Linked DNA regions of Schizosaccharomyces pombe. The gene in region 1 interacts genetically with each later gene. Each region holds a gene or a part of one and is shown on either strand. Other genes may lie near its edges.

Evidence for each region. A genetic interaction does not mean that the proteins touch.
Region 2: mutations in mug113 (region 1) and dim1 together harm fitness more than expected from each alone (negative genetic interaction), as found in Schizosaccharomyces pombe (one large-scale study listed by BioGRID).
Region 3: mutations in mug113 (region 1) and pof2 together harm fitness more than expected from each alone (negative genetic interaction), as found in Schizosaccharomyces pombe (one large-scale study listed by BioGRID).

What each region holds. Positions count from the first base shown.
Region 1 is NC_003424.3:2,825,083-2,828,702, reverse strand, and holds mug113 (protein mug113), read left to right. Parts: upstream 1-1,773; 5' UTR 1,774-1,884; coding exon 1,885-2,865; 3' UTR 2,866-3,120; downstream 3,121-3,620. Other genes in the region: palmitoyltransferase complex subunit Erf4, read left to right, coding at 1-37; rit1 (initiator methionine tRNA 2'-O-ribosyl phosphate transferase), read left to right, coding at 16-74, 354-1,656; glutathione synthetase large and small subunit Gsa1, read right to left, coding at 3,240-3,620. UniProt on the Schizosaccharomyces pombe protein: Has a role in meiosis.
Region 2 is NC_003421.2:877,234-880,466, reverse strand, and holds dim1 (U4/U6 x U5 tri-snRNP complex subunit Dim1), read left to right. Parts: upstream 1-1,795; 5' UTR 1,796-1,832; coding exon 1,833-1,867; intron 1,868-1,878; exon of another isoform or gene 1,879-1,917; coding exon 1,918-1,943; exon of another isoform or gene 1,944-2,024; coding exon 2,025-2,065; exon of another isoform or gene 2,066-2,148; coding exon 2,149-2,259; exon of another isoform or gene 2,260-2,312; coding exon 2,313-2,528; 3' UTR 2,529-2,663; downstream 2,664-3,233. Other genes in the region: gpi10 (pig-B family GPI synthesis protein), read left to right, coding at 1-820; sorting nexin Snx12, read right to left, coding at 2,827-3,233. UniProt on the Schizosaccharomyces pombe protein: Plays a fundamental role as a protein essential for entry into mitosis (G2/M progression) as well as for chromosome segregation during mitosis. May play a role in mitotic spindle formation and/or function.
Region 3 is NC_003423.3:2,616,106-2,620,046, forward strand, and holds pof2 (F-box protein Pof2), read left to right. Parts: upstream 1-1,756; coding exon 1,757-2,947; exon of another isoform or gene 2,948-2,983; coding exon 2,984-3,123; exon of another isoform or gene 3,124-3,170; coding exon 3,171-3,231; 3' UTR 3,232-3,371; downstream 3,372-3,941. Other genes in the region: SPOM_SPBC25B2.10 (Usp (universal stress protein) family protein), read left to right, coding at 416-1,339; TATA-binding protein-associated factor Mot1, read right to left, coding at 3,599-3,941. UniProt on the Schizosaccharomyces pombe protein: Involved in substrate recognition in ubiquitin-dependent degradation.

The DNA of each region.
Region 1 (3,620 bases):
TGATCTGCCAAACGAATGGACGAATTCGACCCTTTAGACGCTGTGCAACAAATTCATGTTCAAGCAAGACACCCGTAAGTCTCAATTTGCTATACAAATAAGCTGGCAGAATCAAAAGACTTAGAAAATGATTGCTACCTTTATAAACGCACAAGCAATTAATGCAAATTGTAAGAAAAAACGATGGATAGCTGCTATTAAATTTTCATGAAAAATTTTTAGCCTAATCGCCATTTGTTGGATTTCGTACTGATATATATTTTTGCTGATTTTTACTTGTTTTTCCTTTTTGCCTTGCTTTTCTTTTATTTGTATGTCATCGAATGGAAAATTTGGCTAACACTAATTTCAAGAAAGAATCGGTTGCTGTCAATTGCACACGATGCCAAGTTTGTCGACTCAGTTATAGCTTCGTACCCCACATTTAAACCTGTTGTAAATGAACGATGCGGTACGTGGTATGTCAACCGACGACATGCTCCGATTTCTGTTTATTTCAAAAGTACTGATGGTCATACCGGGCAATGGTCTTTTAGCTGTCGTCGTCTCAATTTGCATTTGCTAAATGAGATAACCACTTGTGATGGATTGATTATAGTAGATTCTACTCGTCGTGGAAAGAGAATGCCCGATGCTCTATCAAAGACGATTCCGATATGGATTGCTACGCTCAATAAATGTGTTTTCGAACGGCTTCGTCCCCATTCCTTTCCTAATGCTCGTTTGGCCTTTTTACCCCCGTTTTTACCTGATACAGAAAAATCATCTATTTTACAGAGGCTAGATGGATTTGTAGATTCTTTAATGCAGTCCGGCATTGACTTAGATGCGTTGGCGGCTAAGCTAACTAAACCCATTCGTCCTTTATGGGTAACACCTGCTAGTCGTTTAACATCTGCACAATTTGAAGAATATTTTACAGTTGTTCTGGTTACTGCAAGTGCTCAAGTACAGAATGGGTACTCCCGAGAACATGGATTTCTTTACGTTCAAGGAGCAGCAGATGACGAAGAAGAATGGTCGCATGGGCTGACCCCTGAAGTCTTTTGGCAAAATACTGAATCTATCCTCACATGCCCAGAGGAGCAATTGGAGCAAAAAATTAGCCTCCTACTATCTTCAACTAGAAACTCACCTACCATGTCAAATTCTTCGTTAACCCATCTTTTACCAACTCCTATATTTGTTGGGGATGTTACGGGATTTTATCCCCCTCCAGAAAATACATCTTACTTTGTTTTGAATTTGTCGAATACCACCCTGAATGTGAAGAATGAACTTTGTTTTCCAATACCGTCAGGAAAAAAAGGTGCTCCGGTGTTTCGCAAGCATTTCCCTTCAATATTGCAAGAATTAAATTCACTTGATCCTCCATTTTATGAGAGAGATGCTATATTTATTGTCGATGAAGGAAATGCTAAAGAAGCCGCCTCTTGTCTTGCATTGATGATTCTTTGTTTATACTACGACCTCCATATGCATTTACTTGCCCATCCTATATCTCTATCTGCATCTCAGTCTCACCTTACCAAGCAAACGGTTCGCCAATTTCTGGTAAAAATTACAGAACTACACTCCAAAACAAATCCCTCACGAGCATTCCTTCTTGCCGTCAATTCCCTTTTACTTAGTGCCAATACTATTGCTACTTCTTAGTAGTGGCACTTGGAATGGCAAAAATGTTTACGGTAAATAAAATAACGTAACATGAATCGTTTCCTTAAACGAATCCCAATGTCAACATTAAGCTCAGTTTGCTTTTTCCGTTTCCCTGATTGTTAAAACTTTTGAAAAATATCTGAAAATACGAGTAATTGAGTTTGTTCATACATTTTAAGACTTTAGAGGCTTTGAAGGATGTTGATATTGTTTGATTAGGATTTCATGAAAATGCCGAATACTCTGCATTCAGTATCAATCTCTACAGATTTTCCTTCCCCAAATGTAGAATCGGAAGCTGCAGACGTGAATGAATATTCCTCTACTTCAAAATTTGAGACATTGGGTAATCAGAGCTCTACAAACCTCGGTTTTTCGAACTCCTTACAAGATAAGTGGGATTGCTGGAAACGGGATTTGTGGTCTATTTGGTGGTCCTTAAGTCGTAAGGCAACGAGATTTTATAGATGGTTGTCTCGATCGTTAAAATGGCGTCCAGTTACTTACGAAACAGTATATCCACAAACTTATGAAACTCAGATGTCAGAGCCTAGAGAAGTTACTACAATTGTAAAGGATTTAAATAATGGGGATTCTTTTGTCTTAAATGTTACTGAACCTGTTGACCCTGAATTTTTGCGTGCCAATATACCTCCTGTTCATCGTAAACATCTTCCACCCAGACTTTCATTAGTCGCTTCTCCGGGAACTATTCCTACTCGTGGAGTTGTTGTATTAGAAGATTGGATTAATCCGCTACTATCCGAAAGATGTAAACTTCTTTTACAAAGTGAGCTTTGTAACCAGGATTCTTATGATTGTCCGGGTTATATCTGCGTTTACAGATTTGAGCAGAAAAATAACCCTTCGGTCGTTTTAGGTGACTCTACCCTCATCCAAATTTCCAGAGTTTCTGACCTTCAGCGACACCTTCGTGAGTACCCTAAAAATTGTGCCTTTTCCAGGTCGGTGTTAGAAATTTTCCCGGATCCCGGCAAAACTTCTAAGCCATGCCAAGTGAGTTTCAAGGTTGAAAGGTTAGTACATAAGGAATTAAATGAGTATCTTTCTTGGATGCAACCTTTTACATGTGATTCTTGTGGATCACTTCATGAGAATTGGCTCCAAATTGACAGTAAACAGTGGGACCAAATTCGTGGTGTAATATTACGGTGGGTAGAGTATTCTCGGGTCATTTATGCTTGAATCGTTTTTTGTTTTTTTTCCTATCTTCTTACTTGTTTTGTTTTTATTTTGAACACAGGAGATTTTATTTTTCTCCCAAAATACTTTATAATTAATATCTTCTTTGAGGCACTTAAAGGATTTTTTAAGAGTTTTTACTGCCTTTTCTGGGTTCCTTTCTTTTTATTATCGCATAACTGGTAATGACTTTTTCGAAAAGTTTAATTAATGTATAATAGTAATATCATCGATTTTAAAAAAAAAATCCGCATCTTGTCTATCATGTCTATTGATATCTTGAAGTAGCAACGTGTTTCAGATCAAAAATTTTATCAACATCTTCACGTTTGTCTCACATTAAATACCTTTGACCTGGTGTAACTGATACACAAAATTTATTCAGAAAGTTCAATACTAGATAAAGAAGCATAGCCTGTTGCAACACCACCTTCATTAGTTTTTTTGGGTTTGGTACGACAAATGAAACCCGACTGTCCATTTTGAACGACTTCGTCAGTCTTGATGTTCCAAACGATCGTACCTAAAATACCAATTTCGTCGACGACATCAAACTTTTCAGGTCTTTCTCCCTTCAAAATATAGTTTTGTGATGGAACGGCATTTATATAGCGCATTAAAATGTAAGAGTCCCATTCTTCCTGAGGCATTTTGCTGAGTAAACCAGGAATGTCTTTTCCATACGTATTGTTTCCACCACCCTCTCGTTGAGGCTTTAAGACAAAGTCCTCGGGTTTTTCGAATGCGAGTTTAATACC
Region 2 (3,233 bases), on another chromosome or scaffold:
CATATTCGTTTTGTGTGTGTCTTTATTTTTAGTTAATATTATTGCTGATAGAATACTTTACGGTCGTTTTGTCTTTCCCATCATTTCGTTCTTTCAATTTAATGTTACTTCAGGCCTTTCCTCTTTGTATGGATTGAACGCATGGCACTATTACCTTTCTCAAGCCCTCCCATTAATATGCGGAGGATTTCTTCCATTCGTATTACTCACAATGGACCTTCAAACAGCGGGAACCATTCTTTGTGTTTTCTTTCCCTATTCACTGATAGGACATAAAGAACTTCGGTTTGTATACCCAATTTCACCGATTTTACTTACTTTAGCTGGAAAATTTTTTTCATCATTTTCCTCTTGGAAGCGTGCAGCACGGTTTTTCTTCCTTATTGGATTGGGACATGCTCTGGTAATTACATTTTTATGCCGATTTCATCAATTTGGAGTCATGGAAGTTATGCCATTAATACATTCACTTGCTGAAAAAAACCAAACTGGTCTAATACTTGCTCCGTGTCACACTACACCATGGCAGTCGCATATCCATTCACCTTTTGCTGAAAATGGATGGAAGTTCTTGACATGTGAACCGTTCGAAAAGCCCTTTGATGAGACGGATCGTTTTTACGAGAATATGCCTACTTTTCTAGATAAAATTAAAGAATGGCCGGATTATCTGATTTTCTTTGAAGAGCGGTTTTATAGCTTATACAGCTATCTTGACTCCCGAGGGTTGAAGTATGAAGAAGTACAGAGGTATTATAACTCCTTGATTCCTGAAAGTCGAGAGAGAGCTGGAGCTCTGTTAGTGTATAAGAAACTCTAATTACATGATTCTTCATACCCCAAAAATTTCACAGGTCAGCATAATTATCTGCATTTTAACAACTATTGATGTATTTTAAATGAAACCACTGATGACTATTACTTGCTTTGGACAATATTTGGTTTATCCCTAAAACGCCAGCTTGATTTCTAGCTCCCCATTATAAACGATTTGCATTTCTATTATGGTTCGTGGATTATAGAGGGGGCCATATCAAGTCTTCACAGAGCAAGAGGAAGCAACAATTTGTAGACGAATAAAGTAATCCTAAGCCATTTACTATTAAAACTTAAGACATGGGTGGAACACTTATCTTCCCCGAAGCCATTATCATGAATCAACATCATTTTAAAATTTTCAACCTTTGGCGACTTTAACCTTTCAGAAATTTTCTTAAATACAAATTTATAGCATATCCTGCACTCTCCAAACAAATCTGAAAAAGAAAAGTTAGCTTACAACGCGAACACCCAAGTCACTTAAAGAATTTGCAATTGTAATTTTATGCTATGGAGTCGAGAAAAACGCAAAGGTCATTCGTCTATGTTGCGATTGGGACTTGAAAAAATAATTTTATACGGCCTAGCTACGATTCTAAATTAAATTTTTTATAATAGTATTTCACAAAATATTTGGAATATTACGGATACTTTAATTTTTAAACACAGTAAACTGCTTAAACGGTCGGTTTCTAGAATTGTAAAAAATTCTGAATTTCATTGTTTTATTAGATGAAGTATGAATATATATAATTGTAGTAAACACATCAACGATTCAACTAAGCATGTAATGTACGAAAGTAATAGCAATCCCACTTGTGTCAAGAATCTCATAACTTCACTAAATTTATTTACTGAATAGCATTTACACTATTATACGCTTTTTTACGTAGAGTTAAAGCATTGCTACATCCTAACGCGCAAAGTGTATATTGTGTGACTTACATATCTACACTATTCTCGTCTGCTAGAAATTACCAAAATATTGCAATTCAGCAGCTTCAGTTGATATAATGAGTTATTTTTTACCTCATTTACATTCTGGATGGTAAGTTTTTGTGATAGATGGATTTATTCTTCTCTAACTTATGTTTATAGGCACGTTGATCAAGCAATTTTATCAGGTACGCGAACTTTAAGAAACGTAGAATGTTTCTCGTTTCACAACTTCGAATCAGCTTATTAACCTTTTTTTTTATAAATAGAACAAGAGCGCTTGGTTGTCATTCGATTTGGTAGAGATCATGTATGTTCTAATGTCGATATCTACTTGGATTAAGTCTATTTAATATTGTAGGCGGATTAATTTACTAACGCGTAACGGAATAGGATGAAGAATGTATAAAACAAGATGAAGTCCTATACAGAATTGCTGAAAAGGTCGTCAACATGGCTGTCATATATTTAGTGGACATTGACGAAGTTCCTGACTTCAACAAGGTAAGTCTAAGTCTTAGTTGGAAAGTCATGTTGCTAACCTTATTACCATCTAGATGTACGAGCTTTATGACAGAACTACAATAATGTTTTTTTATCGAAACAAACACATGATGATTGACTTAGGTACTGGTAACAATAACAAAATCAACTGGCCGTTAGAAGATAAACAAGAGATGATCGATATTATAGAAACTATTTTTCGTGGTGCTAGAAAAGGTAAAGGTCTTGTTATTTCTCCAAAAGATTACTCTACCCGACATCGCTACTAGAAGCCACCATTTGCTTATGCAAGAAAATGGAGAGGGGATAGAAAAATCATAGTAATTTGATAGTTTTTGGCTAAAATGAAAAAGTCTTTTTGCTTTAATTTTTACGCATAATTTGTACTTCAAATGGTATAACCCTTCTTTTAAAGTCAGTAACAATACAGGATTTGAAATTATCTAGTGGATGAATTGTAATAAAGTATTATCAAATCCTATGAAGAAATTACATTATATGATTAAAGAAAAGCATGAACATGATTACTCTTGCTATGATTTAACAAGAGAGGTAAAAAAGTGACACTCAAGTTGCCTTATTAGTTGATCTAGCGTGTTTCTTTAAAGCCAGCAAAATCTCGTCAAGAAGGGTGTATATAACATGAGCGTTTAGAGATTGGTTTTGGAGAATACGAAATATTCTTTTCACAGCAATATCAGGTGTATAGCCGGGAAACATGGAAGCAAGCAAAATCCCTGCTTCTGCTTTCAATTGATTCCTATCAGCATAAGCTGGCTTTCGCGCCCGTGAATGACGGCGGTCTTTGGAGTGATCATGATTAGATTTACCTTCAAGTCCTCGTCTAAACTCGCGTAACTTCCTATAAATCTTCTCAGGCGTAAACAACTGAAACAGTTGTAGTCGTATACGCTTTTCCAAAGCTCCGCCAAAAAGTTGTTCCAATATCGATATATAAGTTTTTTTCGGTAACC
Region 3 (3,941 bases), on another chromosome or scaffold:
AAAATTTAGTATAACAAGCACCACTGGTTTCCTCATAATGTTAGTTTTAAGATCTTGGGCATTAGCTTAGCACAATAGAATGGAGGGTTGACGCGGCCGTTACACATGACTTCACTTATTTGTCCACCACATACATACTTCCGGCAGCTCACTCTTCGTTGTAGGAAATATCGTAACTTTTAAATATTTATACAAATAAAAGCATTTTGTTTTGAAAAAAGAAGTTTTCTAATATATCATTTGAAAATAATAAACGAATTTCCCAAGTTTAATTAAGGCACCACTTTCAATTTTTTAACATTTACTCCGAATTAGAGTTGAATATAGTACCTTGTTTCATGTACAGGGTCTGCAAAATTGTGCAGAGAAATTGATTGTTTAAAAGTCCCAAAATTTAATCAAGTGAGAAGTTTAGATGAGTGAATCTGCACCCGCTGGTTCGAAGGAGGGAGTTTCATTCGGTAATCTCCCTCGTCCTGAGCCACGAACTTCTAAAGACCAGCAGAAGTTATCCATTTCTACCGATGTTAAAAAACCATCTCATTCTGCTCCTGTTACGCCGGTTCGGAGTGCCAGGAGCTCAATGGAACAGCCAACGTTTCGTCCTGTTGCAAAAAATTCCGTAACAGTGGCACCTGCTCGGGCGGCTGGATTCTGTCCTCCACAATTTGAGGAATATCATCATGGACGTTCCCATAGTCTTGTTTCACCACCTCCGAGTCCACATTTTCTAAAAAGGATTTCGTTCGATACGTTTAATAATAAAGCGGCTACAGATTTTTCCCTGACTCTGAAAACACAACATCAAGCTTACAAGTGGACAAGAACGTCTCGCACTTTTTTGTGTGGCATGGATGGCAATTCGTATTCTGAAGTTGCAGTCGATTGGTTATTCGAAACACTTTTAGCCGACAACGATGAAGCAGTAGTATTAAGAGTAATTGATCCTTCTTCCAAGCTAGCGGAGGATTTATCGGATGAACAATCTTACAGATCTTTAGCTGAACATATCATGGCAGGCATACTCAAGAAAGTTGATGATGATAAAGCTGTTTCTATAATAGTTGAACTCGTGGTTGGTAAACCTCAAGATATGATCCTTCGTACTATACACGTTTATTCACCTGATAGTCTTATTGTCGGTACTCGTGGCAAAGCCTTAAATAGCTTTCAGTCTCTTCTTTCTAGCGGAAGCGTTTCCAAATTTTGTTTACAAAAAAGCCCCATTCCCGTAATTGTTGTTCGACCTGATCGAAAACGAGTTCGTTCAAAAAACAAGCGCCTTAAGGACAAAACGAGAAAGTCCTATATGGAAATTTTAGAGAAAAGCGGTCGCTAATACGAATAGTTCTCTAACTTGCCAATTTATGATTAATACTTGCTTTATGACATGTAATATTTAATGCGTTTGATAAATTATTCGCAAAACGGTTGAACATTGATTTCTTTATTGTCTATTTTAAAAAAGAGCAAAAAAAATAAAGCTTTAATTTTTTTTGTTCGCTAAGCTAAAGCGTGCGGAATTTTAATGTTTAGAGTATATCTATCGTGTATTTGAGATTTCTTAATGTCAATTAATTTGTTTGTCTCTGGATTTAACTATGATAATTTGGAACATGCGTACGTTATGCTGCGTAATTTAGTTGAAATGAAAATTGTTTGTTTACATCCATTTATCATTTTAAGAATTTACGCTTTATTACCAACTCACATATTTTTCATTTATTCCCTATAGAAAAAAAATTTACCTTTACCAATGCGGGTGCCTAATGAAGTTTGTTTTAATATATTATCATATTTGGAAGCCGATGAGCTAAGGTGCAAATCGACAGTTTGTACTTCATGGAGGAATTTTATTATACCCACTTTATGGGAAAAAGTAGTATTTCAAAACGAAGCTCAATTAAATAACTTTTTTGATACTTTACAATACTCCAAGGATGTTTCGTACTATTTCAGGTATTTGCGCAAGCTGAATTGCTCTCGTGTTAGGAAATTTCTTACCGATAAACATTTAATGTTAATGACATTAGCAACAGGGATTTCTCGTCTGAATTTGTCTGGATGTACTCGCATTTCCGAGCCTCTTATTGGTAAACTGTTGTATCAGAATTTGAACTTGGTTACTATAAACTTCAGTAATATTTTCTCTTTACCGGCGAATATACTTGAATATATTTCTGATAATTGCCCTAATTTAAAAGCTTTGAATATTGGGAATTGTGGGTTAGTAGAAGATACCGGTATGGTTCAGATAATAAAACGTTGTCCGTACTTAAATCGGCTCATTATACCGAATTGTCGAAAGCTGACTGACGTCTCATTACAAATACTTTCTGAAAAAGAAGACCTGATTGAATTAGATATTAGTGGATGTGAAGGCTTTCATAATGCGGATACGCTGTCTAGGTTGGTCTCCAGAAATCGAGGTTTGAAAGAATTATCTATGGATGGTTGCACAGAATTGTCACATTTCATCACTTTTTTAAACTTAAACTGTGAATTAGATGCAATGAGGGCATTAAGTCTTAACAATTTACCAGATTTGAAAGACAGTGACATAGAATTGATAACTTGTAAGTTCTCAAAATTAAACTCTCTATTTCTTTCCAAATGCATTGGATTGACTGATTCGTCACTTTTAAGCTTAACAAAGCTTTCTCAATCTTTAACGACTCTTCATTTGGGACATTGCTATGAGATAACCGATATTGGTGTTCAATGTCTTCTAAAGTCATGTAAAAATATAACTTACATTGACTTCGGTGGTTGCCTTCGTTTGAGTGATATAGCAGTAAGTGCTATTGCTAAGTTGCCATATCTTCAAAGAGTAGGTTTGGTCAAATGCATTTGCCTTACTGACCTTTCTGTAATCTTACTAAGTGGGTCTTTTTCCAGAAACCTTGAACGAGTACATCTTTCTTATTGCATTGGACTAACCGCAAAGGTATGTAAAATATGCTATCTTTTCTAACCAAATTAGTCGGTTAGTTATTTGATGTATAACTGTAAAACGTTAAAGCATCTTAGCGTTACTGGAATTAACTCTATATTATGCACAGAATTGCGATCTTTTTCCCGTCCAATTCCAGATGGAATAAACCCGTCCCAAGTCCCGGTATTGTAAGTCTGTGGTTTTGACCTCTTAATAGTCACTAACTAATATACAGCTGTGCGTTCACTAAGGTCGAGATTGATTTGTTTCGAGAATTTATTCGTAATAGAATATAGAAATCAAACTTTTCACAGTTTCATTTAAGGCTTCAATTGACATGATGGCGTGCTTGTCCTTAACTATTCAATAATAAAACATTTTATAAAAAACGTTATTTACTCCGCAAGGTTTTTTTTTTTTTTTTTTTTTTTTTTTTTTTTTTTTTTTGATTGAACTAATCAGCAGATGGTAGCTATATATTTACAAGTACAAAAAAGTAGATTTATTACATATTATCAAAAAAACCTCTCACTCTTACAAAAGATAAGTTAAACATAGTTTCTTAAAAGAAAACCTATTTTATTGTACACCTTTCATATTGCATTACCATTCACATTAGTTAATAATTAATTTTTTTTATGGGGGTTCCATACTAACTCCTGTTCAAGAAGCATCCTTGGGTAAAGTAGATATGAAACCATCCAAATTAAATTCATCATATTGGGATTCATCCCACATTTCTGGAAGCCCTTCAAGAGCCTTTTTAGAAGTACCACTTAGACCGCGACCTGCCGCATCTTCCGATTCTTCTTTGTCAATATTTTGTACAGTTTGTTGTTCATCAGCAGTAGTGTTAAAAAGGTCTAAAATCTGATCGGTTCCAATTGAAGAAAGACCAGCATTTTGCTGATTAACAACCGTTGATGCCACGTTCATTTTAAACCTCTGAAGGCCCATTATTTTTTCCTCAAGACATCCTCGAGTGATTAAACGATACACATTCACC